2 linked regions of the Lytechinus pictus genome follow. The protein of the gene in region 1 interacts with the protein of each later gene in a pairwise test. Links are inferred from orthologs where the notes say so. Each region holds a gene or a part of one and is shown on either strand. Other genes may lie near its edges. The genes, in order: survival motor neuron protein-like and ribonuclease P protein subunit p20-like.

What was found.
Region 2: the proteins of survival motor neuron protein-like (region 1) and ribonuclease P protein subunit p20-like interact in binary tests that used the Drosophila melanogaster proteins (3 or more experiments, as listed by UniProt). The link is inferred for Lytechinus pictus from reciprocal best matches to the Drosophila melanogaster genes Smn and Rpp20.

Annotation. Positions count from the first base shown.
Region 1 is NC_087249.1:19,885,656-19,899,217, reverse strand, and holds the start of survival motor neuron protein-like, read left to right. Parts: upstream 1-8,454; coding exon 8,455-8,496; intron 8,497-13,562. Other genes in the region: lamin-B1-like, read left to right, coding at 913-1,096, 1,606-1,833, 2,869-2,922, 3,865-3,894. UniProt on the Drosophila melanogaster protein: Core component of the survival motor neuron (SMN) complex that plays an essential role in spliceosomal small nuclear ribonucleoprotein (snRNP) assembly in the cytoplasm, is required for pre-mRNA splicing in the nucleus and acts as a chaperone that discriminates target and non-target RNAs of Sm proteins.
Region 2 is NC_087259.1:13,424,070-13,435,507, forward strand, and holds ribonuclease P protein subunit p20-like, read left to right. Parts: upstream 1-8,189; coding exon 8,190-8,639; downstream 8,640-11,438. Other genes in the region: ubiquitin-related modifier 1-like, read left to right, coding at 4,125-4,168, 5,896-5,966, 6,544-6,625, 7,249-7,297, 8,064-8,132. UniProt on the Drosophila melanogaster protein: Component of ribonuclease P, a protein complex that generates mature tRNA molecules by cleaving their 5'-ends. Also a component of RNase MRP complex, which cleaves pre-rRNA sequences.

The sequences.
Region 1 (13,562 bases):
ATCTACAATTACCGCTCTCTGCCCAGGTGTACTGAAAGGGTACCCGATCACAGAGTTTATAGGCAGTCTTTGAGATACAGGCCCGTATTCTGAAGTCAGGTTTAACTTAGACTACGGTCTAACACTCTACTAAAATTATGGGGGGCCAAAAATTCAAAAAAATTGTTTTTGATGTGTATTTCTCATGTTTACTATTTTGTTTCCTTTTTCTTTCATAATGAAGAAAAATACTTCAGTTCTCATTTCCAGACATTTATTAACAATTTGAGTGTCATAATGAGTTAAGACCTTGGATGTGTACTATTGGGGATTTGGGCCCCGATTGGCTCTCCATAGTTAAACCACAACTTTAAACCAGGGTTTAATTTAAACCCGAGTTCAGAATATGGGCCTTAGGGTTTATATTTCCTTGGTTTACAAGCTGTCGGTCTACTTCTCAGATAGTCTAATACCACTTGAGCTAAATCCAATGGGTATCATTTTGGTCTAATTGCCATTTGGTCTACACTCCACATGGTCTAACAAATACTAGTCTAATCATCATGTATTCTAATGCTTATAAATATAAACTAATTTCATCTAGGCCTACTAATTATTTTGCAATTTGTCAAGTAAAAGTTTGATTCTCAGATAGTTATCTAAATCATATAGACTGAGTGGTTTTATACTTACTTGAAATTAGATGAAATAGGTCTAATTGGAAATTAGGCAAATGGTAAATGGTCTTATTAGCAATTAGACCACATAATTATTGATGAACTAGGATTAGACTGTGTGGGATGAGAGTAATGGAAAGCAGACACAGCAGGTCTAGACCAAGTTGCAATTTAGCAATATTAAGTGCATGATTTTCTTTATGTTTGACCTCTTTTCTTGCCTTGCCTATCCCCCCCCCCCTCCTTTCCCTTTCAGGCTGAGAATCTCCACACCCCCTCGCAAGACAAAGGCTGCAGCCAAGGACCCCAGGCCAAGCAAAAGACGTCGCGTGGAAGACGAATCCAGCATCACCCAGAGCGCCACCAACAATGGTGTCGTGGCCATCGTAGAGAGCGACCCTGAAGGAAAATTTGTGAAGCTACAAAATAACTCTGAAACGGTAAGTCCTCAGGGATATGCAGTTTCTTATCGCTGGGTTCATTGGCATGCATACTCATTGTCTCTCATCCCCGTGTGAACTTGTAATCATAAGTCAGTAGAGTTTTATTCTTCTTTAGGATACACTTTTTCAAGTTTTTCAAATTTCGGGCAGGTTGACTGTCTGGTTTTATGACAGAAGACCGACAGTCAACCTGCCTAAAATGTCACGTCTTCTCATCTGTTCCTGCTCTTCATCTCCACTCGCCGATTCAAGCCAGTCTCCTAGTCAAGCCTTTCGTCTTGCCGTCTAATCAAGCTTTTCTACTCTTTCTGGTTTACAGTGCTTTTAAGGACTGCACTTATCTCTATCTACTTTCTCTTAGTCCTTGCCAGTATTTTACACATGGTTTACCATAAACCACTTCCACGTTTGTTCATACCACCTTCCAAACCTTCAAACATCTACTATTATCATTTCCATCTTAATCAACTATTGATTTATCCCCTTTTATTTCATTGCCTCTCCAGGACCAAGCATTGGGCGGCTGGCACTTGAAGCGCAGTGCCGACGGTGGCAGCGAACAATCCTACAAGTTCACCAGCAAGTACGTCCTGAAGGCCGGCCAGGAGGTGACTGTCTGGGCCTCCGGCAGTGGCAAGTCCCAAAGCGCACCCACAGACCTGGTCTTCAAGAACACAGAGTCTTGGGGCACCGGGGACAATGTGGAAACCACTCTGGTTGATGCTTCTGGGGAGGTAAGTGTTGCCAATTTGGAAAGTTCTGAAATGGCATGGAGACATACTCTGCACTTTTTCTCAGACCTCATGTGATATACTAAGGGAGTGTTGCAATAAACATTTGCAGTCAATCGCAAATTCACAAGTGATAAACCACTTTTGCTTAAAGGAAATTGGTTTATACTTGTTGTTTATGCAAGAAAAAACCAAATTTGCAATTAATTATGAGAATTGTGATTGATTTTGGCATCTAAAATGTACTTGAAATTGAATGTAAGATTCTTGTAATGTCCAGTAAGTGAAATAGTGATCAGACCGATCAAAACAAATCCTTTGGCAAAGCTTACTCAGCCTCTGGAAAGTGTTTTGCCAGGGAAAAGAGAGATAATGATTTAACCATAAGGCAATATCCAGTGGCATTAAATAATGTCTGCTGGTCATAATTCTTGTTCTACTCTGGATTATTTATATCTGAAGGGTATCAAATTCTCCATGAAAACACAATAATTGGCATTTAAAGACAAAGTTTTGGGAAAGATAGACATTGTGAGCTGTCTAATTCTGTCCATGATGTTTGGGTAGATTATCATGAAAAAATGATCCACTGCAAATGATTACTCTTCAGATGCTCCTACATTCAATGTATAACAAATCAGATCTGAAACTGTCGGGCCGACAATTGAGATGTAGTCCCACACATGCTAATCCGTGTGAGATCTTCAGGAAATTGGGCCAAATGATTCCTATATAGCACCTGAGCACACGTTCCAGTTGTGCGTAATGTCATGTGTAATTTTAATCTTATGAAACATTCACCAGTACCCTGTCCTCCAAAGAGTTGAAAGAGATGAAAATCAAACTCGAATATCGTTTGATTTGAAAATCTCCTAACCACACAAATATAGATCAATTGCAATTTTGAGATTGATTTGATTCTGTCACAACTCTTTGCAAGATGCGACACAGAAGTGATAATCATAAACAACAGATAATTTCAAACACCAGCTGTTATGGTCTCACTCCCTAATCATATATCTTATTGTTTTATTGCAGTTGATGGCAACTCGCACAGTGATAAAGGAAGTCACAACACATGAATACAGAGAGGTACGTGTGCTTTTCTTATCCTCAAATTTCTAGATTAATGATTGATTGAGGCACTGATCTCTATTCATGATGCAGCACCAAAAAATCAACAACAAGAAGTACCACTGTGATTTCAAGTAGAGCTCATTAACAGTGTTTCTTTACAAAAAAACCTACAAGGCCCAAAGCAGGGGTGTGGGGGGGGGGTGGATTCTGCATCCCTCTCCTTCCAACATGTTGCACAGTACGGCCATGCTGGGTCTAAGTAACATAGCTCTGTAAGGGTTAAGGTGGTTTGATTTCAGGTTGTATTCTATGAACGAGTATACTTTTTTCTGTGTACTGCAAACATTTGGGCACGCTAGTCATCCAAATGTGCCTTTTCGGACATGTATGAGACCGATTTCCCATCGTTTTAAAATTATGTGGTATAGTTTTCCTCTCATGAATTGCATTCATGCATTGATACTTGTCGATACCAATGAACAGGATGTGCCTAATTAGAATACCAACTTGGGGGGGGGGGGGGGGTAATTTGAAGACTCTTTCAATGCCATTGTATTATTTATAATCCCCCTTTTGTCACTTTTGCTTGGAAGGGTGTTAGTTGTTCTTTAGACTGGCACAAGTTAATCCCTTGATCTCAAGTTATACTTGAAAAGATGCAGAGAATCCTGTGTAATAATGCATGTGGGAATGCCTGTTTCTTCTAGAATTAGGTACGGTAAACCCATATGATGGTATTTATGTCTTTTCTTTATCATGTTGAAAATTCATGGAAATAGCCCTCGACCCACATGTACCATTTGTGTCCCCATCATGATAGTGACATGGCTTATATTTCTAATTCATAGATATGATTTCTAGATGTATTTTTGTCACCTTGTAAAATTAAGTAAAAGCAAAAAATGAAACATTTATCACAAAAATATAATATATGTTGTACTTTCTTTTTCGATACAGGGTCGAGAAGACAGATGCACCCTAATGTAACGTGTACTGATGAAACTTCGACAGCACTTTTTAATCACTGTAGAATTCAACATTACCACTCGTATCATTATAATCGTCACTTGCGAGGTTTTAACAGTAGTTTTGTACAAATTTTGTGTAGGTATTAAAAAGTTGCAGAGGATGTCCTAGTTTTGCACTTGGTCAACAATCAATCATGTTTAATCAACTAGTAGATGGAAACTTTTAACCAGCTGCTTTTTATACTTCTACTCGTAGCAGAGTGATCATGCCTTAGATGATTCGAATGTTATTTATCCAATGTTAATATTGTAGGAACAATCACAGATGGGTATTTTGGGGGAATTCTGTATAGACCTTACAGCTGAAATTTTATGAACTGTAAGTGTTGAAATGCAATGTATGTCAAAGTTTGTGTTGAAAATCATTAATCTTATATCAGGGGTACACATCCATAATATTGGATGCTCATGTAGCTCTCCGCATTATTACTCTCGTTTTAGCATGGCAGTGATTATGACGCTCATGCATTCCAAAGATAATAATGATAATAACATAGGGTATTTATATTGCGCACATATCCACCTTGTTAGGTGCTCAAGGCGCTCCTATATTACCCGGCTAAGCTAGGCGTTCATAGCGCACACATCTTTTTAAGGAATTACTTAACATTCATATAAAAACTAATGGATCGTTCTCATGCTTGTATCAAGACTTTTAGCATATGTTGTAGAAATCAAATGTCTTTGTGGTACCGATCAACACATGAAAGCTAATTGCAGTAAAAATATTCATGAGAACAATGACATTGTGATTTTACCTTCTTTCCCGTACCATGAAAATCATGAGGAGATAAACAATTTTTTTTTCTTGTCATGCTTAAGTCTTGTCTCAAGTCATTTAGTAGTTGGACTTTGGATTCAGGAAAAAAAGGCTGTATTGCTTGACTTAGATCCCTCACTTTTCAAAATATGATATAATCATGAAAATGCATAAATCTTCAATGATTATTAAATAAGAGAGACCATCTCCATATGTATCTTCAGTGGCATTGCATTCTAGACATCGTGGTTCCATAACGTAAAGCCTAGTGGCTGATTGTATGATTGATTTTTGTGATTAATGGTACATTGAATCAATGCAATCAGTAGTAAAAAACTGTGCTGTGATCAAACACCTTGCTTTGTAATATGGAATACTGGCATTATGTTCATGAAAATTGTTGTCATGTTCCAAATACTACAAACGTAATATCGACCCCAAATATTGTTCTTTATCAAAGGCTGAAATAGGCAGGTTTCTACATGTTTGTGTGTTTGGCATAGTATACTGACAATTTTACTGTACTAGTTCTTTGAAGTGAATTTGAGAGAGAAAAAAAAATTTGGTAACGCCATATTTGCAGACATGAATCATGAATGCTAAGACTTTGAATGAATTAACCATTTGCTATTTCTGAAGCCTTACCTACCAATTTGTGAATTTGTGTTGCGATAGAATATCTGTGTCATTTTTAATGCATAACCATACTGAAATTGCCTGCCGATTTAATTGAAAATCTGTAATTATTCTGCAAAAGATCTACTTAAAACTTGAAATATATGTACACCGCGGCAAAAGAGGAGTTTCTCCTTTTCCCTTGTTAGTCGGTAGTGTGGGGTTTTATTTCTGATTACACTTTCATAATGAATATCAAAATCATTTGAATGTGTATTGAAAGAAATTAAATATCAAACAGTGACATTTTGGAAACTGCAAGTTTTCACAGAGCATGGCTTCTTAAAAGAATGGGTATTTTAATCTTGTTGTTCTGGTGCATTGATCCAAAAATTTGGTTGCAGATTTAAGAAACAGGCTCATGTATTAACAGTGACTTGGACAACTCCAATACAAAACGAAAATGATCTTATCCTTCCTATTTTAAGGTTCAACACCCTCTTCCCTTTGAAGCTCATCAATTTTATTGTAAATTGTATATAGTTGTAGTGATTAATTCTCTTTTTAGTTGTTTTGATAATCAGCATCTTATTTATACACATTTCTTAACTAGTTGATATTACTTTGTTTTAAATCAGATTATCAGTGTTTGTCTACTTATATTTGTTAAGTTTAAAATTGTTGGAGAATGTAATCTATGGAACTTATTCTTTGATGCTTCTTGGGATAGCAGTATGAACATTATCAGAAACAACTAAATTCCAACTATGATAATCAAACTTTGTTCGTCATTGGTATATTTTTCATTGACATCTTCTGTTATGTAGGAGTATATTCATGTAAGTTGCTGTTTGAAATAATTATTCTTGGTCGTCATATTATGGAGAATATATTTTGATAATCAGTTAGATGTCTGGTTTTGTGACTAAAATACTTGTGCAAGATTTGTTAAAGAACTATGTGTATTCAGTGAATATTTTATTGCAGTATACTCCTTAACATTTCTTTGTTGGCATTAGTGGTGAGCACTTGAAAATTAAAGGAACAAAAAATGATCATCAAATTTGACACTTTACTATATTCCTAAAATATATGTTCTAATTAAAATTATGTATTTCACTTGCCTTTTTGACACAGTATGACTGGATATAGGGGTTAGACAGTAGGTTATCTGCTGTAAAACAGCTAAGTGCATAATGAAAATGCTATGAAAGTAGTCTATATATAGGTTTTCACTTTCAGTTTTTATATGTTTTCTTATGTAAATAGTAGCAGTTTTAAATTAGAAGTAACCATATGTAGTCTGATTATGTTATATTCTTGTTTTTAGTACTTTTTGTGTAAATATTAGTGAATGTGAGAGACATAAGTCAGGTTTTTTTTAGTCACTTAAATACCACTTATGATTGATATATTTGCTTCTAGTTATTGTCAGCTAGGTGCTTTTATAGATTTTTATGCATCTATGTGGAGAAAGAAAAAAAAATGCATGCAACCCAAGTACATAAGCATATGATAAGAAATAAGTTATGACAGCAATCATTTTAAAAGGCATCTGAAATGTTATGAAGTGAGCTTCTATTCTGGTTTGACTCTTAAGAAGGAAATCAACATTTGTGCGTTGAAAAAATCTCACTTTGTAGATGAAGCCATGTGTATCAGAATGGTTTGTCTTAATATTTCAGATGGCTCAAATCCTAAATTTGTCTTATTTGTTAATTGCACATGTGTGACGCAAACATTACCATATCCTTCACTTAAAGTGATCATCATGCACTGACTTTCTTTTCTTCTGAATAAAAATAAAAATATAACCCAGTTTGTAATTCCAGGATTTGTACATTTAATGTCAATTGTCTTAAATTGTTGGTAAACATTTGCTTCTTCATAAACTGTACTTGAGAACATACCACAATAACTTGACTGTCTCAGGTTTTAAGTGAAAATGTCAAATTTTTGTTTGAATAATATTTACCTGGAACTTTGTGGACTGAAATGCTTCTTGTCTTGCACCTCAAACTTGATTCATTGCTGTCGATTATCAGGGTTTGTCAAATTTTCAATAAAGAACCAGAACTGTAGTAATCAATTTCAAAGAATTATTTATTTTGTATGTTGATTGTATGAATTTACTCCCTTCATTTTACAAATTATAATTAACAGAAGTTGGGGATACAGCAAAGCACTGGATTATAAACTGGCTGATAAACACTTTGTGCTGATACCAATAGGAATTAATATGGCCTCTTTTCCAACTTTTTAAAAAAGTACATGTATGTCTAGCCACACTCTCACTATAAGACAAGTAATAACATGAATAAACATCAGTCATGTATAAAGCAAAATAAGAATTTGAAATAATCTTATAAATTTGACATGCAAAAAAAATTAATTACTTCATGGTATTTACACATCAGAAATTCTACCCCATCCAAAAGTGTCATCACACAGATACGCTCAGAGCATACTGATGGGGAGGGGCATTTGTCCCCCCCCCCCAAAAAAAAAAAAAAAGAATCCATGATGGAGAATATAAAAAAATCACTAGTACGGTACTAAGAAATGAAAGGGTAAAATGTGAAATTATATGAGGAATATCTTATACGAAACAATGTCTCGCAGTTGCCAACCTGATCAAGAACATTTCAGTATTTTGGTAAGAAAATTCGGCAACCATAGTTTCAAAGCAGACTCTTGGCGGCAAATATCTGCTTATTTGCTTAACAAAAAATGCCCTGGCTCTGAGCTTCACTGAACAGTGAAGAAAAATTCATGCAGTTTTGTTGTTGATAGATACCCAACTCCCACATACAATAAAATAAATACATAAATAGAAAAATAAATATTAATTAAGTAATGAATAAATATAGACCCTATATTTAGAATGGTCAGGGAGAGGAGTGGGGCGAGGGCCGGGCATGCGTTTAGTAAAATTTTGTAGGAAGTTGTAAACTTTCAGAGGAAATAAATGCAATTAAAAGTTGTTACAAGTTAGGAATAAATGGCATTCAACTTCTAAACATAAATAAAGTCGCACAGTATACAAACTGTACAAACGCTACTACGGTGTCCTTGAAACTCGCTGATTCCTATATATGAAGCTTGAAAACGAGGCGCGCGTGAAACGATCCGAGCGACATCATCATGGCTGAACGTTCTGGCGACGTGGTTTTCAGAGTTGATCAGGTAGGAAAGTCTGCTTGGATGTTTAGAAATAAAATAACACCTTTGGCTTTAAGAATGAATTTCTGATCATGCACATAAACTTATTTATTAGTGCAATTTGGTTTGCCGCGGTGTGTGTACTGGCTATGTTTCGGAAGTCAATGAAGTTGAAATCAAACTTATTTTAGCCCCACATATTGAAATATGGGTGGTGTTCAAAAAAAAATTTGAATCAAGTTTTTCAGTTTTCCTTACCCCTTTTTTCATACCCTTTTTTCTTCTCTTGGGACTTCCCCTTTGCTTTTCAAGGCCGAGTTTCATCTCCCATCATAAATTCACTCCGTATTTTCCTGAAAAGACCTCCCACTCCCCCCTATCTTTGCCTTTGGTAGGGAGTTCAGTGAAAATGCCACTTTCAAGTTTCAGAATTTGTATCTGTCTGTGCTTCCATGACATGACACTCTAGGCAACACCGCAATACTTACCCGTGTTAATAAACTGGGACTCCACTCACGCGCATTTGGGCCGCCCTAGCTTAGAACTAAAGTTTATTATCAAGAAATTGTTAAACTATACATGTATAGCCTATAGGGCCTACTGATAAAATATATTTCATTAAATAGCTTGATACTGTTTGATCGGTATGATTGATGGGGTGTCCAAATTTCGCGCACTTTTCAAAAATATTCATCAGGCTTAATTTTGTTCACAAAATATTCATAATTTATACAAAACCAATTCAAGAAATAGTTACCACATTGACGGCAAGATCGTGAACTATAAAATCATGGACGAAAATGTAAAGACTAAAGTAGGTCAAGGGGTTTCGCCGGTATCGCGATCTCAAAATTCTATTCCGATCGGCGAATGCGGGCTGTGCTGGAAAACCGTTCAGAAAAGTGTGACCTAACTTCGCGCACCAACGCTTTTGTGGAGATTTAAACAAAAACTCAAGTTCAAAAAGTGAAAAATTAAATCAGATTGATGGCAAAATGCTATGGAATCGGTTAGTACCACATTTAACTCACATTTTTGATGATTTCTGCTTGCAAAATGGTGATATCGTGATGCTTGTGATTTCTTCAAAACGGGCGCTAGCGGTGACAAATTTGCCGATCTTTTGCCAATATTTTCATGAATACTGAACTCATCCTAAAGAAATTTTCATTATACGGTAATTTTAGGTCGCTTTTCACGTTGATGATGTCAGATTTTAAGGATATTGGCTAGTTTTTTAGATAAGGACCGTCCGCGAAGTATGGACACGCGCGAAGTTTGGACACACTGCCATACTCACCGGTTCTTTTGTTGCATTTTCAGCCCAATTCTCACAATTCTTGGGAAATATTCGCGACAAATCTTGTCGCCATAGACAGCTACATGTCCATCTTTATTTATAAATAGAGCGCCCTTTACGATAGTTGTTAATGCCGCGGAGAAATCGTTAGGCATTTTGGCCTGTGTTCATGGCGTAGCTGTTCTATTTTTTTTTTTATACTATAGTATACTTTATAGGTATGAGATCGAAATCACAGCGAGTATTTACACTCTTCCATAATGATTCCGAAAGGGAGGCGCAACACCCCCCACCCACATGGGCGCAAATTCCAGGGGGACATGTCCCCCTCACCTAGAATAGTAGGGGGCACATTATGAAATGTCATCCCCCTAGGCCCTACTATTTTTGGTCTTTTCATTCAAAATCGAAATAAAATATGTATTTTGGAAGAGACGATCTTACTTTTGGGGTGCCCTTTTTTTTGCTTGTTTGCTTATCAAATTTCTTTTGGTCAAGATGACCTTCTTTTTGGGGTGATAAACCTTCTTTTTTGTTTTTGTTTGTTTGTTTTTTTCTTGTCAAATTTTCCAGCCCCTCGTCCCGGCTACCTTTGGGGAGAGATTTCCGCCCTTGCCTAACAGTACACTTGATATTGTTTGCGAATCTGCGTGGGCGTCGGGGGCTGGGGGATGAGGAAAAGCGGTGAGACGAGAAAAAAAAATAGAAGGAAAAAGGGGACAGAAAAAAAGTGAACGAAAGAAAAATTAATGGAAAATAAAAGGGAGGAGAAAATAGTGAGAAAAGTGATGGGTAGGTCGAGATTTTATGTGTCCGTGCAAAAAGAAATGAGCAGAGGTTGAGATGTTGTCTGTTTAGGCAAATGTCTGTCTGTTTGTTGGACTGGCGCCTGTTGCAAAAATTATTAAGCTGATGGAATCAGAAAGTTCCAACTGCTTCATGTCATACCGACAGTGACAGGATTAAGCGGTTGTAGGTATAAATCACGCTCTAAAACTGTGTTCTTTATTAAAAAGTTGTCCTTCATATTCATTTTCGCAAAAGAATATCAAGTTTTCAATTAATTGTCTATAGTTATCCTGTTTATGATAAAAATACTTAGAAATTGGGTTAGGTTTAGGGTTATCAAATTATCGGGGCAGAAAAAATATTTTTTCAGTTTGCGCGTCGATTTTTAATGACATTCATTCTATTCACAGCAATATATTATTAAACATAGCCGCATGAATTATAGATAGGTCTATAGTTATCAGGTGAATAATTTACCGCTACACACTGATCATGCGGATACTGTTTTGTAAAGGGGAATTTCACCTTGATAAAAAGATTGTGAAAATATAGGCCAAAGAAAAATAATTTCAAAACATCGGTGAAGGTGTTATTAAAAAAAAATGGAGTTAGTAGAATTTCGAATGCTTGATTTGTGACGTCATAAACGAGCAGTTGCTCAATATTCTATGTAATATAAAATGCAAAAATTTCCCATTTTTAATGGTCCGTAATGACCCACTTTTTTCTTTTTGGAGAGAGTATGAAGTTATCTATTGATATACTGAATGTACAATAAAAGTCATTATCACGTATTTCTTGACATTTCATTTACTTTTTACCATAATTATATCCGATATAGCTGCTCGCAAAGGCCTACGCCGTCACAAATAATTATTTAAAAAATCTCACCTTTAATTTTTTTTTGGTGGGGGATGGATTTTTCCTGAAAGCATACCAATTTTTCAAATTATTTTTTCTGCTATTTTCATAATTAACTTTAAATAAATTCACCTATGCACTACTTAATTTTTTCAAAGACAAAATAACAAAATTACATCTAGTCTTCATCATCACCATCATCACCAACTTCATTCTCATCATCATCACCACTACCACCATCATTATCATCATCATCATCATCATCATCATCATCACCGCCACCATCACCACCACCATCATCATCACCAAGATAATTTTCATCATCATCATCTTTCTTTTTTTTTCTTTTTTTCCCCCTTCCCTTCTTCTTTTTTTCCTTCCTATTTTCCTCCCTTTTTAGAGGGGCACACCACCGAATAAATATGTTTGTTGTTGTTGTATATAAGTTGGCGGATGCCTCATGAAATGAAATAAAAGAGAAAATAAGGAAATGGAAAAAGTAAGAAGAAGGATAAGAAGAAAAAAAGAAAGCCAAACAGACAAGACAAAATAATATCAAAATTTCGTAATAAAGTCAGTCAGTTTAATAATTATGTTTTCAATGAAATGAGACATAAAAGAACTGAAACAAGTAAAAAGGGCTACATCATAGTTAAAAGAAATAGAGGGAAGCTCCGAGACAATAAAAAGTGTTAAAAAAATCAGAAAAGACTTTGAAACACTCTGAACACGAGTATAATATAAAAAAAAATTTGGAATAAGCGAGGACAAGTAGCTGAGGGACCCCCCCCCCCTCTCTCTAGTTATTTACTCAAACTCGCATATACAAGAGAAGAAATTCTTACTAATCAAAATATTGCGAGCAAAAAGCATGAGCTTACATTTTTTTAAATATTCAAAACTGATAGAGAGACACATTTTGAACAATTCATGAAACATAATAATCATTCATTATAGCTACCAATCGGATTGCGACAAGATCTGAGAATTAGAAATTCATTAAAAGCATAAAATTGTATAACATTAAAATAAGACGGGCGCAACGCATGAGCTAAAGCTTTATATACCAATTAAAATTGTGGACATTTTTAGCGCTTTCGGTAGTCATGAAAAAGATTCATATTTCATGAAAGCTCAAATCCCGAGGAGGAATATTTTTTATTAATTGACTTAAAAAAGGCTGTTCTAATTAAGCCCCATTTAATATTTGATTACAAGTCTCGTTAAACAGTAAAAGAGGAAAAAATAAAGCATATTGTGTTCCTCAATTCTCTTTCTCTTTAACCCTATTTTTATTTTATTTATTTTTTTTTTGGGGGGGGGAGGTATTTTGGTTAAAAAAAAAGAGAAAAAACGATAATTGCTGGCTAGTGGGTGTATAGTGGTAGGGACACCCCGCCCCCACCCCCCGTAGTTACGCAAACATGGGACCAAATGATCCTACTTGTTCCAAGGCGAAACTTGTGCAATCAATTAAATGTTATTTTTGAGAAAATTAAAGCTTGCGCTGTTTAAATTCAATCTCTTTCACCTAAATTTGCGATGAATGCTAGCATTATGAAATATATAATTATCAACGTCTGGCGAAAAGAATAACCAACCGATCAGCTGACGAGAACGCGTATCACGTGATCTGCATATCAGCTTCGATCGCGAGTCAGAAGTGAAGAGCAACTGGCAATAAAATCTGGAAAAAGTCGTCAAAATGTAAGTTCCCCTTCATTTCTTTCAATTTTTTTTTATTGCTAACAATGCTTTAACTTTCTTAAACAAAAATTTAATGAACAGACAGTACGATAGCTCGTACTTATGTTATAATACACAAATAATCATCTTCACAAAGATTTCTGACACAAAATACTACAGATGTCGCCTATGAGGTCCATACATGTAATGTTTGGACCTCATTGGTACTAGGAGTGTGACATGACATGTATAAAACAAATACGAAGCCATTAAAGGAGGAGGAAAAACCCTATAGAAACCTATACCATGAGAAACTTTGAAGTTTTATGAATAAAATGATGTATAATTCAAGGGCATGCCTTGCCCCGCATAGCAGCGCATTGCACTTTGAAAAAAAGTATTACACAGTACCATTCATTGCATTTTGTGTAAGTTATGAAAATCTACTTTTTGC
Region 2 (11,438 bases), on another chromosome or scaffold:
GTAAACAAAAAATGCGTGCTGGTGTAGTTTAGTCTTATACCAAATTCAACGCTGACAAAACCTAATAATGTTAATCGCTCAAATAATGTTCAGTCCCGGACGGTTGAGATACAAGCATACTTGGCATTATTATTCGGATATTGTTTATAGATGTTGAATGCTTTTGTCTTTTAATTGAATATAACACAATCTTGTTCATGCTAAATAAAATTGTATCATCATTTTGGCAACTTAACCTTAAAAAATGAAAATCTGTACGTACAGAAAAGAATGAAAAAAGGTGATATAAAATGAATTAAAAGGCTGATATAAAATGGCCGCATGAACTATCGGCAATTAATAAAGATCTCTTTAAAAGAAATTAAAGCCAATTGAAAGTTATTACAAAACAAAGACGAATAAGACTGCATATTCGCTTTGAGCCGCCGAATACACAAAGTCAGTATCTGACGCCACTAGTATAGCAGGCGCCAGTATAACAAGGCTATTGGTATGACTTTAAAAGGGTGGTCCGGGCTGAAATTATTTATATCTAAATAAATAGAGTAAAATTCACAAAGCAAAATGCTGAAAATGTCATCAAAATCGGATAACAAAGTTATTGAATCTTAAAGTTTAGCAATATTTTGTGAAAACAGTTATGTACGTCGTCATGAATATTCATTAGGTGGCCAGATGATGTCACATCCCCACTTTCCTTTTTCTCATGTTATTGCATGAAATCATAACTGTTTAATTATTTCATACATGTGTGAATGATATGTCTCCCTTATGATGAAATACGTTGCAGCAATAAATATCTAATGCACTAAATCGGTTGTCAATCCAATTTTTTTGTTCTTGGAGGAAAAAATTTGAATAAACCTAATTTCATATAATAAAATACAGAAGAACAAGTGGGGATACGACATCATCAATTTGCTCAATGAATATTCATGAAGACATGCCTAGAACTGTTTCACTGGAAAATGCAAAACTTTAACATGTCATAACTTAGTTATTCCTTGTCCGATTTTGATCAAATATGCCAATAATACATTTCGGGATACACGAGCGACCAACTCACGTTTGGTGGCGTATCTCTTTTCAGTATAATGGACATTATCAAATCCTCTAATGAGCAATCTCATTTCATCTTTTAAAAGACATGGTTTCTTTAAAAAAAAATCGCGAATACCAGTTAACGGGGAAAATGCTCTTCAATCAAAAGTATTTGCATATACATTTCAGAAAACTTTGGCGGCAATTACGGGTTTTGTTGACGAGTTGTCCCAAGTCCTGACCCCTATAATTAATTTTATAGCAAAGTCCCCCAGGAACATCATGCATTTAAAAAAAGTATCAAGTTACAGTATCATCTTAAAAGGCAAAAAAGTGTGAACAAAAACTGTGAACTTTTAAATTACGATGGGCTGTAAAAATGCAAAAATACGGATAACTGTAGAAAAAATTCTAATCCCACAATTTTAACATGAAAATCGCCGTTAATTTAGAAATACGAACACTATTTAAACGATAGATGCACTGCAATCAACGTAAAAAAAAACGATCACTGCATAAATACGTTTTGTTTGTTAAATCATTGTGTCGTCTGTTTTTTAAAAGGCAAATATCCTGTAAATTTACGCTTTTTCTTTGTAAAATTACTAATATTTTTAACAGTGTGGAAGATTCTAAGAAATGAATTAGTTGATGTTCACCATTTTTTTCTTGGTCGGTCACATAATTATTCACGAACACATCGATTAGCTTGACTTACCCTTTTGAAAGTGTAACAATATTATTAATATAACTTTAGATCATTCAATGACTGTTGTGATTCCTGACTATGGTTGATTTCTGAATCCTTGCATAGTATTTTTTTTTCATAAGTTTGACTGAGGTAAAAATAAAATAAAATAAAACGTTTGTGGTAGAGATTTTCTATATTTCATCTTAGAAATATGAATGTGTGATCATCTAAATTGGCCTTGCTTCGTGTCCGAAATAATCTTGCGTACATCCCACCCTATCTTCTATGTGTTCATAATTTTACATTGCATCTTTGTTTTCTTCAATTCACTCATTATGTTATTGATGCATTTTATTGTTCACAGGACCCAAAATGGTTCTGTATTTAATCATCTGGGTCTTTTAACTCTCTCTCTCTCTTTCTTTCTTTCGTGAGGTTCACATTATTCAAGCTGTATATGCTTTTGAGTGAATCTCCCATTTCCACAGATGCCCCCTTTTTATTATGTAATATAAATTGTCTACAGAATATAAGATTATGTATCATTAATTTTATGTCGTTGGATATGATGTATACATGACACTGATTCGAACTGTAAACTTTTTTGTATAAATGTATGAAAATATTTTGTATTATACTTTATGTTCTGTTTGAAATAAAACTGAATTTGAAATTTGACAAATTGAAATGTAATAATTCTTATAACAAAATGTAGGTTGATCGAATAAGACAGTTCCTGCACCATTCGAATGACTACGCGAATACGGCGATTTTCCCCATATCCTTAATAATTACATCAATGCACATCCTTTGACATTATATATTTGATAGTGTTTTTCTCGATGAGAAAATAAATGAATTAATCTTGGAATTTCACTTGTTCACGCGCCGAACCACTCAGCCTGGTTTGATGGACACTGTTTGATTGATTTGAATAACGCCCCCTATTGGTCATGGGTATCTCATCATCACCATCAAATCCCGAATCTGTTTATTCCCCCTTATAATTTTGATGTCAATTCAAATTACTGTATAACAGTGGGGGGGGGTGGGTTCATTTGAAAAGGGATATTGAATTACATGTACCTTATTTTTTGTTTTATATGTAAATAAAGAAGACCAGAAATGGTTTAAAGATATAAAAAAATCCCGAATTTGATGGGCCTCATCCACAGAGGAGCTTATTTTATCCACCTGTATATGGTCAGATCCTGCATTAACATGTAAAGACCCCGTTAATTACTGGTTGAAATGTCCTATTTCTCATGTTGCTCACTAATTATGTTGTTTTTTATTATTAATCGTGAGTGCTTGGGGGGAATCTTTACTAACTCTCTCTTGCCATGTCCCTTTTCTCTTTTTTCTACTATCTTGATTTAACTGGTTATGCTCACCCACAAAGAAAAGACGATTTCTCAAGTCTTGTTAAGTAAAACAAAATGGAAAAAAATACGATATAAAGACACCACAACAACTATGGAAAGCCAGCAACGTCAAAATCTGAAATGCATGGGTTTTTTCCAAAATATTTTCTAGATATGAATTCATATATTTATCATTTTCTTGAAATTCAGTGAGCTTCTCTTCTTTACAGTTTATATACCTATTATATATAATTCCTGCAGGAAAAAATATGACATTGATGGATCTCCATACAGTTGATATTAAAAATTTTAATCGGATCAATCGCAATTCTTTGTAAGACGGGCCCAGTTGTCCTATTTTAATCCTCACGCACTGGGGAGGACTGGGGAGGGGGTGTCACATAATATTTGTGTACAACTTTCGGCCAAAAGTGGGGCCTACCCACGGCTACCCACTTGATACGGTAAATTTGAACTATTGTCTTATCAAAGGATATGTGATGACAGTTCTCTTCATAATTGATTTAGGCCCACACATTTAAAGGCGCGGCTAAGAATATTTTTGTGTTACATCACCTTACTCTATAACCCAATTCGCCTACGAAAAATACCCATGATGAATCCTTTCTTGTTTTTTGAATTGGCAGAGACCTTGCTGCACAAATTGTATTCAAGTTGCTGAAATTAAGTGATGCTACTCAAACTAACTTACAATATAAACATAACACGAAAAATTAAATTGCTGCTAAGTAAAATGACATAAGGATTTCAGACAAACGTCTTGGTCAGATTCAGAATGTTCCTAAAATTACTTTTCCATTCTGTTTTTTTTAATGAGATTTTGAAATAAATGGAAATATCTGCCTTAGTAATAGTATATTACACAAGAAAAGGGTTTTTAAAAGTGAGTATGAAAAACAAGTTCACATCCCGGGGACAGTGCTTGATTTACAGTGTAGTGTGAAAAAAGAGAGATTGTCTAGATCTAGACTTTGCAGTATTATAGCTACCGTACCTGTAAATTAAATATGGCAGCGCCCACTGGTGAAATTCACGTGAAGCTTGAATTCAGGTAATATCACTAATTTTAAGGCAAAATATTTAAACAATGGTTGTGATTATGTTTTTTATTTTATTTCCGGTTTATTTGGAATCATATCGGCGTGTAAATCGAGTGGAAATGTGTATATATTTGCCTATTTGAAATTTGAACACGGTTTCCGTTCTATCGGCATCGCATCGCCATCGGACCGGTGCCCCGGTGGCGGTGCCCGGTGGCGGTACCGTACGGTACGTAGCCGTGGGGTTACGGCAGATCTCCGGTAGACTATATTCATGACTACCTCGAGCGAAGTTCGTGCAGGCTCCACTCCACTTCTCACTACCGCTAGGCGCTACACTACACTCCACCTACCCGAATTTCGGGTAGGCATGGTTGATGGTAGACCAAAAGCTTCGGTCTCTGTTATGTTGGTTGTTCAGCTGAACTCCGTTGGAACTCCGTTGGCTTCACTCACCAAATACAGAGACCGAAGTTCTAGCGCGATCTGTACAGGGGACTCAATGGCCATATGTTTATGTACTTAAGATCGGATAAAACGGGGAAGTGAATTTGCGCGACAGCCGAGGTAAGTCACTGTTTTTGTTCCTTTTAACTCGATTTTTCTCCGTTTCTTGGCAATTAATGCCAAGAGGGAATATCAATTTGCATTTTGGTCGCATTAATTTTCAAAATTTTTATTGATTAAAGACAAAAATTGAAGAGCCCCGACGGGGGGATTTTGCATTGCAAGTCCCCTAATGGTGGCTGCACGCTAGCGAGCTGTCTGTGTATGAGGAGAACTTAAAAAAAAAATGTTAAAAAACTCCTCAAAACAGACGGCTGCCAGCTGTCTAGGTTGATGGTAGGTGGAGTGTAGTGTAGCGGTAGTGGAGTGGAGTGGAGCCTGCACGAACTTCGCTCGAGGTATATTCATGACATTACTTTAGTTAGTATTTAGTATTAGTAATATATAGTAGTTGACTTCTGCAATTTCTGAACGGCCGATTTACCAGAGTCCAGACTCATTGACTCAACTTCTGGCTTCTGCAGTGATACCTGCCGATCTCCGAACAGCGGGAGAACTGAAACAAGGGAGGGAGAGAGGTCTGCGTTATGCGTCACGCCGCGCCTCTGCCCGGGCGAAGTGTCGTTTTTCATTTATTAATTTATATTATTAGAGTCCTCTAGAGTCTGCGGCGACCGCTGCCAATCTCGATCTGGATGCTTACGATGCAGGACCCACTAGCCAGGAGGTCTAGACCCAGAGAGTAAAAATCATTCGCTAACGTGTGCTTACTCTCCACAGAGCCAGGGATTGCGCCCCATCTATTTACGTGTACTGGGAAAAAAACTGAAATTTTCGCCCCCAAGATTTCTACTTTCCTTCTAAAAGATCTAGCCCTAATGGGATACAACTTTATTTCCGACATTTATACGATATTGATTTCATTTTTAAACAAAATTTCATTAAAAAAAATTATAAAAAGACAGGGAAAACTTGCCGCGATGTTTACGTCGCCATCTTGTTCTTTTTGTTCTTCGCCAAGCTACGAGACGCATATCAGGTGATATCTCTCTTATTTTTTAAGAAATTTTCAGTGTTAATTTTTCTTTTCTTATCTTTTATCATAACAAATGGACCTTAGGGTTGGTTTCCCTTTTATTTCAAAATCTACGTGTACATGTAGATCTAGACCTACATATATTGATTATTTTTTTGTATATTGATTATTTTTTTAATGATATCATCCTTACAGTGGTGGAGCAGAGTTATTATTTGACAAGATCAAGCATCATGATGCTGTTTTGAACTGCAGTCACAACAAATGTAAGTTCTGTTAGAATATAAGAATAAATTTTAGAATATTTGCTCCTACTACAACATATTTAAATCTAGCAATGGCAGATCATAGAGCTAATAGCTCTATGGGCAGATCTAGGGGGGGGGGGCACAGCTGGCCCGCCCCCCCACCCCTTTTGAGAGCCATAATCCAAATTTTTAATGTAAACATGCCGTTTTTACCCAAGTGTGTTCCCCCCCCCTTCTTTTTGTCACATTTTCATCAGGAAAGTGCCCTCCCCCCTATTGGAAAACCTTGGATCCGCTCCTGAACTTCATTTTGGTATAGTTTTTTTTTAAATTTATTTTGGGGGATTCATTGTCAATAAATGTCTTTTCTTATACTTGAAAATGGTTGAAGACAGAACATACTGATTTTTATTAAATTGGTATTATACATGTATGTTCCCTTTTGCTTAAGGAAAAAAAAATTATTCTTCATGTTGTCAAATTAGTGTGATTACTTTATTCATAATTGATTTAGGTTACTTATTTCAGGACACACTTTATTTTAAAGATAAAATGGAGAACTATTTTGTTCTAATTTTCTTATTTCTTTTCAAAGGGACAATCAAGACATTGCTGGTTTGGATCAAAGATAACCTTCTGAAAGAGAGACCAGAGTTATTCATCCAAGGAGACACGGTGTAAGCATTTCAATTTTTTTCTATCAACACAAAAAAAAGAAAAGGAGTATAAAACAGATGGACAGGTCTTTTCTTGAGTGTTGTAATATGTGAATTCAAAAAATGTTTACAGTGTATCTTACTTGTAGGTCAGGTGTGTGTTTCATAAAGCTGTTTGTAAGTTAAGAGCAACTTTAAGAACGACTGGTTAACATTTCTTATGCACTAAATAATCACAAAATGGTGAATATCACCACAAGAAAGGATCACCAGTCGTCACTCTTAACCTACTAACAGCTTTATGAAACGGCCCCCTGGTCTGTTTTCAAGTTTACCTTCATTTTAACTTTTGAGACATATTTTTCATTTGTTATGTATCATTTTTGCATAAAGTAAACATGGAAGTGTTCATTTTCTTCAGTCAAACAAGGTTTTTGTATAGTTGGCTATTGAATGTTATAAAGGTAAATATTTTTGTCTGCAGAGTAAATTTCATGCAGCATACTTTGCCGGTAGATGTGGGTTGGGGTATGAAAGCTAGCATTTCTTAACAGGGTTATGTTGATATTGTGTTTCATGTTTTGATTGACAACTGCCTATTCTAATAGTGAAATCTGTAATTTTGTATCATTTCTTTTGAACAGGAGACCTGGTATTCTGGTCCTTGTAAATGATGCTGATTGGGAATTAGTGGTAAGACATTGCTAGACATAGTTGATGATTATGAAATGAATTCTAGATTTACTTCTCACCTAATGATGTCATTCAAACATACATTTTATTCTTTATTATTGATCAGCTTTGAAAACAAGCATGATTTGGTATGTTAATTGGAAGCTGTGTGTGTTTTTCTTTTTAAATACATAATGCCTATAAATAGATGATTTATCACTCATACTTAAAAGGGAACTTACAGTCTTACTGCATTTGGGACAACACATTTTTTTGCAGACTTATTTTACCACCTTTTACTTTTTTGAAAATTGGAAACCTAAGAGTGTGCATTATTTTAGGAAAGTAGTGTTAATTTGTTTATGAAGTGTTATCCTTTCCAAATTTCATAGATTGCACAAACAAAGAAGACACAAAAGACACAATCTTCTTAAAATGAAGCAAAGTATGTGCCTTAGGAAAATCTATGTCAAACCTCTTAAGAGTGTTTGATGTTGATTATTTCTTGTGTACTGCAGTGGTAAGTGATACATTGCGATTTGTAAGTTTATTTTTATCAATAGATATAGTTCTGTTTTGATATTCACAGTACTGTACTGTGTTAACAGGGTCTGTTTTGCTCATGCCATCAACTTAGATTTGATATTTAGAACAGTAATGTATAGAGATATTGCATCATGTAGAAAAGAGAAAAATAAATATGTTATCTAAAATGTCCATAAATCTGATAACCATTTACATTTATCCTTTCTTCTAAGCTGTTATTTTTACCATCCCTTTTATCCAGGGTGAATTAGAGTACGAGATACAAAATAAGGACAAGATTATCTTCATATCAACCCTTCACGGTGGATGAGCTGCCTTTGACAGTTTCACTCGGGAAAATAAAATTGAAAGTTTAACTCAAAATAAGATGGCCTCGGGCGATGCACAGCCGGCTACCCCCCAAGCCCGCCCTCACAAGTCGGCCAAACCGAAGGTCAATCCAGCGGCGGTGAGTATCCGGAAGCGTCAGCCCCGCAGACTTCCGAAGCGCAAGAATGACATCTACGTGACTCGCAAGTCTAACTTTGCCAGCCAGATGGAAAAGTGTGAGAAACTCTTTGACGGGGGAGAGAAAGAGGTGTTCATTCATGGTCTTGGTGCAGCTATCAACAGAGCACTAAACATTGCTCTTCAGTTGGAGTCCCGAAGTCTTGGCACACTCCAGATATCCATCAGCACTTCCACTGTCAACCTGGTGGACGACATCGAACCACTCTGCGATGAAGGGGACTTTGATACGAGGGAGAGAAGCAACTCTGCTGTCCATATTAGAGTGTTTAGGACTGAAAGCAAGAAAATGGATGGGCCAAATAAGTGATGTGACTTATAACCATGGCCAAGGTCTTTTTTGAGAAAGGATGCAGACATTCCGTGGTGATGATAAAGTTGTATGATGAACTAATCTTTTCTCTCCTTTCTCTGGTTTTAGAATTTAAGTTTGTAGCAGTGTCAGTTGACTCACCTTTGGTTTTCACTGAAACGTACATCAGAGCATATTAGATGATGATTTGATCTCATGGGAATTAAAACAGTTAATGGAGGAATAAACCTTTTATTCTTCAAAAATATGAATGTTGGTTTATGGTTATTCCACATGAGAGAAACAATCACCTCATTTTGTGTTTGAAGGAAAACAATTAAACTGAAAGTACAGAATACTCAAACTCTTGGATGAAAAGAAGCATATAAGAAATAATGCCATTATAATTCATGCAATTTTGATTGCAATAGATATTTTGTTTTGTGAAAATTGCTTAAGTTTCTGGTAATTATGTTACCATGGTTAAATCTATGATAGATCACATATTTGCAAGAAAAACAAATTTGCATTCTCTTAAAGTATTGATTATGGAATTATGATTTATGGTAACAGAAAATATTTTTGAGACCTATTTACAATTAAACAAGAGTCATTATTAGGGGCAGTTAGTTTCCATTTGAACAAAAAACAGCCTATTCTATTTCTGAAAACCTGCAATTCCATTTCAACCTTGAAAGAAAATGTAGACGGCAAAAAACTTGAATTCAATTTTGTGAAGGTAAATTCAGTGAATTTTGCATGAAAATTAAATAACTAAAACTAGTTTTCCACTTTTATTTTAATACTGGCAGACAGAAAATCGATGTCTCTAAATTATGTAAATGGGATCAAGTAGTTTTTGCCACACCATGTTTGATATGTGTACATGATTTGTAAAGCTCTCATTAGCTCAAGAGTTCATGCAAAGATTATGACAAAGTTGCAATGAGTTAACCTGTTGACTTTTGTGATTCACATAATCTTTGTATAAGGATTTCAGGATCTTTTAGCACTTGCTTCTAACTTGCAATAGTAAAAGATAAAACAAAACACACAAAACGAAAGCAGTGTAGTTTAGCCATTTTTGTACAGGTACATGTACTTGATTTGAAAATAAAATGAAGTCAAATTTGTTTTTAAAAAAATCATGGGATTATTGGAATAACAAATGCATTTATGTAACTTGATGCTAAAGTGATAGATGATAGGTGGCCCAGTGGATTAGTCTCCAGACTTTGAAACAGAGAGTCATGGGTTGAATCCTAGCCATGTCATACTTTCTTTCAGCAAGAAATTGATCCACAGTGCGCTGCACTCGACCCATGTGAGGTGAATGGGTACCCGGTAAGATAAATTCCTTGAACGCACTGAGCACCTTTAGCAGCTGGAGCTAAATATGGATAGTGCGCCATCAGCTCCTCATAAATGCTATACATTTTTATTATTATAGAAATAAATAACAATACAAAAAAAGAAATGAAACATAACTGTAATAACCATAAGACGTTCAAATCTGAACTAAATAATTATCTTTTTCCCGGTATTGTGTGAATGATATCTGACATATTGTTAGAGTAAAACACCTTTGTCTTGTCACATATAAATGCCACTATAAAACTGTTGTACATAAACATCAGTGTATATTTTCTCTCTTGACATTTTCCCTGTTAGCCATAGGCTACCCAATAGACTCTGGATGAGCCCAAAGACATATCAATATAAAGCTGTTTAATACGTAATAACAAGTGAAGTATTATGGCCCTTCGTCACCCGGCTTATAATATACACCACCTGTGAATATAATTCATACATCAATGTGCACAGGTTAGGAGTGATTCTGTTAACCCTAGTTGTGTGCACTATATAACTCACCGCCTCATTGGTCAGATCATTCTCGAGAATGCGTGTTATTGGTCAATCTACCAATCAAGTTGTGCTTTTAATACTGTATGCATTTTACCACAGGTCTGTGGATAATTGAAAGTAAAATTTTTTCCCATTTCAAATACAGCCCATCAGGAATATATAGCAAAATTAGTTTGTATCTTAGTGTTGATTCTGAGTTTAAAAAAAGGAGAGTTTTTTTATGTCTCCATTCAATTTAACTTTTGTTTTTCATGTTTTTTATCATGATATTATATATTCAGTTTCTTTTTGTTATATGAATCAAATATGATAATGACGAGTTCAACTCTCACATTAGTTTCTAATAAATATTTGGGATATTATTGAAAAAAATATTTCCGCTTTCTACAATCTACAAATATATTTAGTTGGATAAAATTAGTACTTTATCAGAGCTAGTTCAAATGTATGGAAAATGATTGCAGGAAATGTGTAGAATCAGGTCATTAAGCTTGTCTGGCAAGAGATGTTGCTTTCGGTGAATTTGATTATGGTAGATATGATGATGTCATTGCCTCCAACTTGTAAAGTATAGGTAATAGATGGGATTAGAGGAATGGAAAGTCAGAGAGAGAGAGAGAGTGAAAGAGAGGGAGGGGAGAGAGAGCAAGGCTTAGATAAAGTTTTGTGTGAGTTTGGGAAGCACTGAAAGACATTGATAGTTTGAGTCTTTTTTGTTAAGAATAAAATTTTGGTTTCAGATGTCTAAAGAGAGATGGGTGGAAGGGGGGGGGGGGGGGCAGGGTGGGCAAGTGAATTTCTAAATAGTTAGAAAATACTTGCCTGCAAATATATTTAACTTGCCCCAAAAATAATTCAAAACAATGTTTTACCGCTTCAAAAGAAAGTATTGTGGTATATACTATTGTCTTTTTTCCTTTTTTTTTACATGAACTGATGTACCTTGTAATA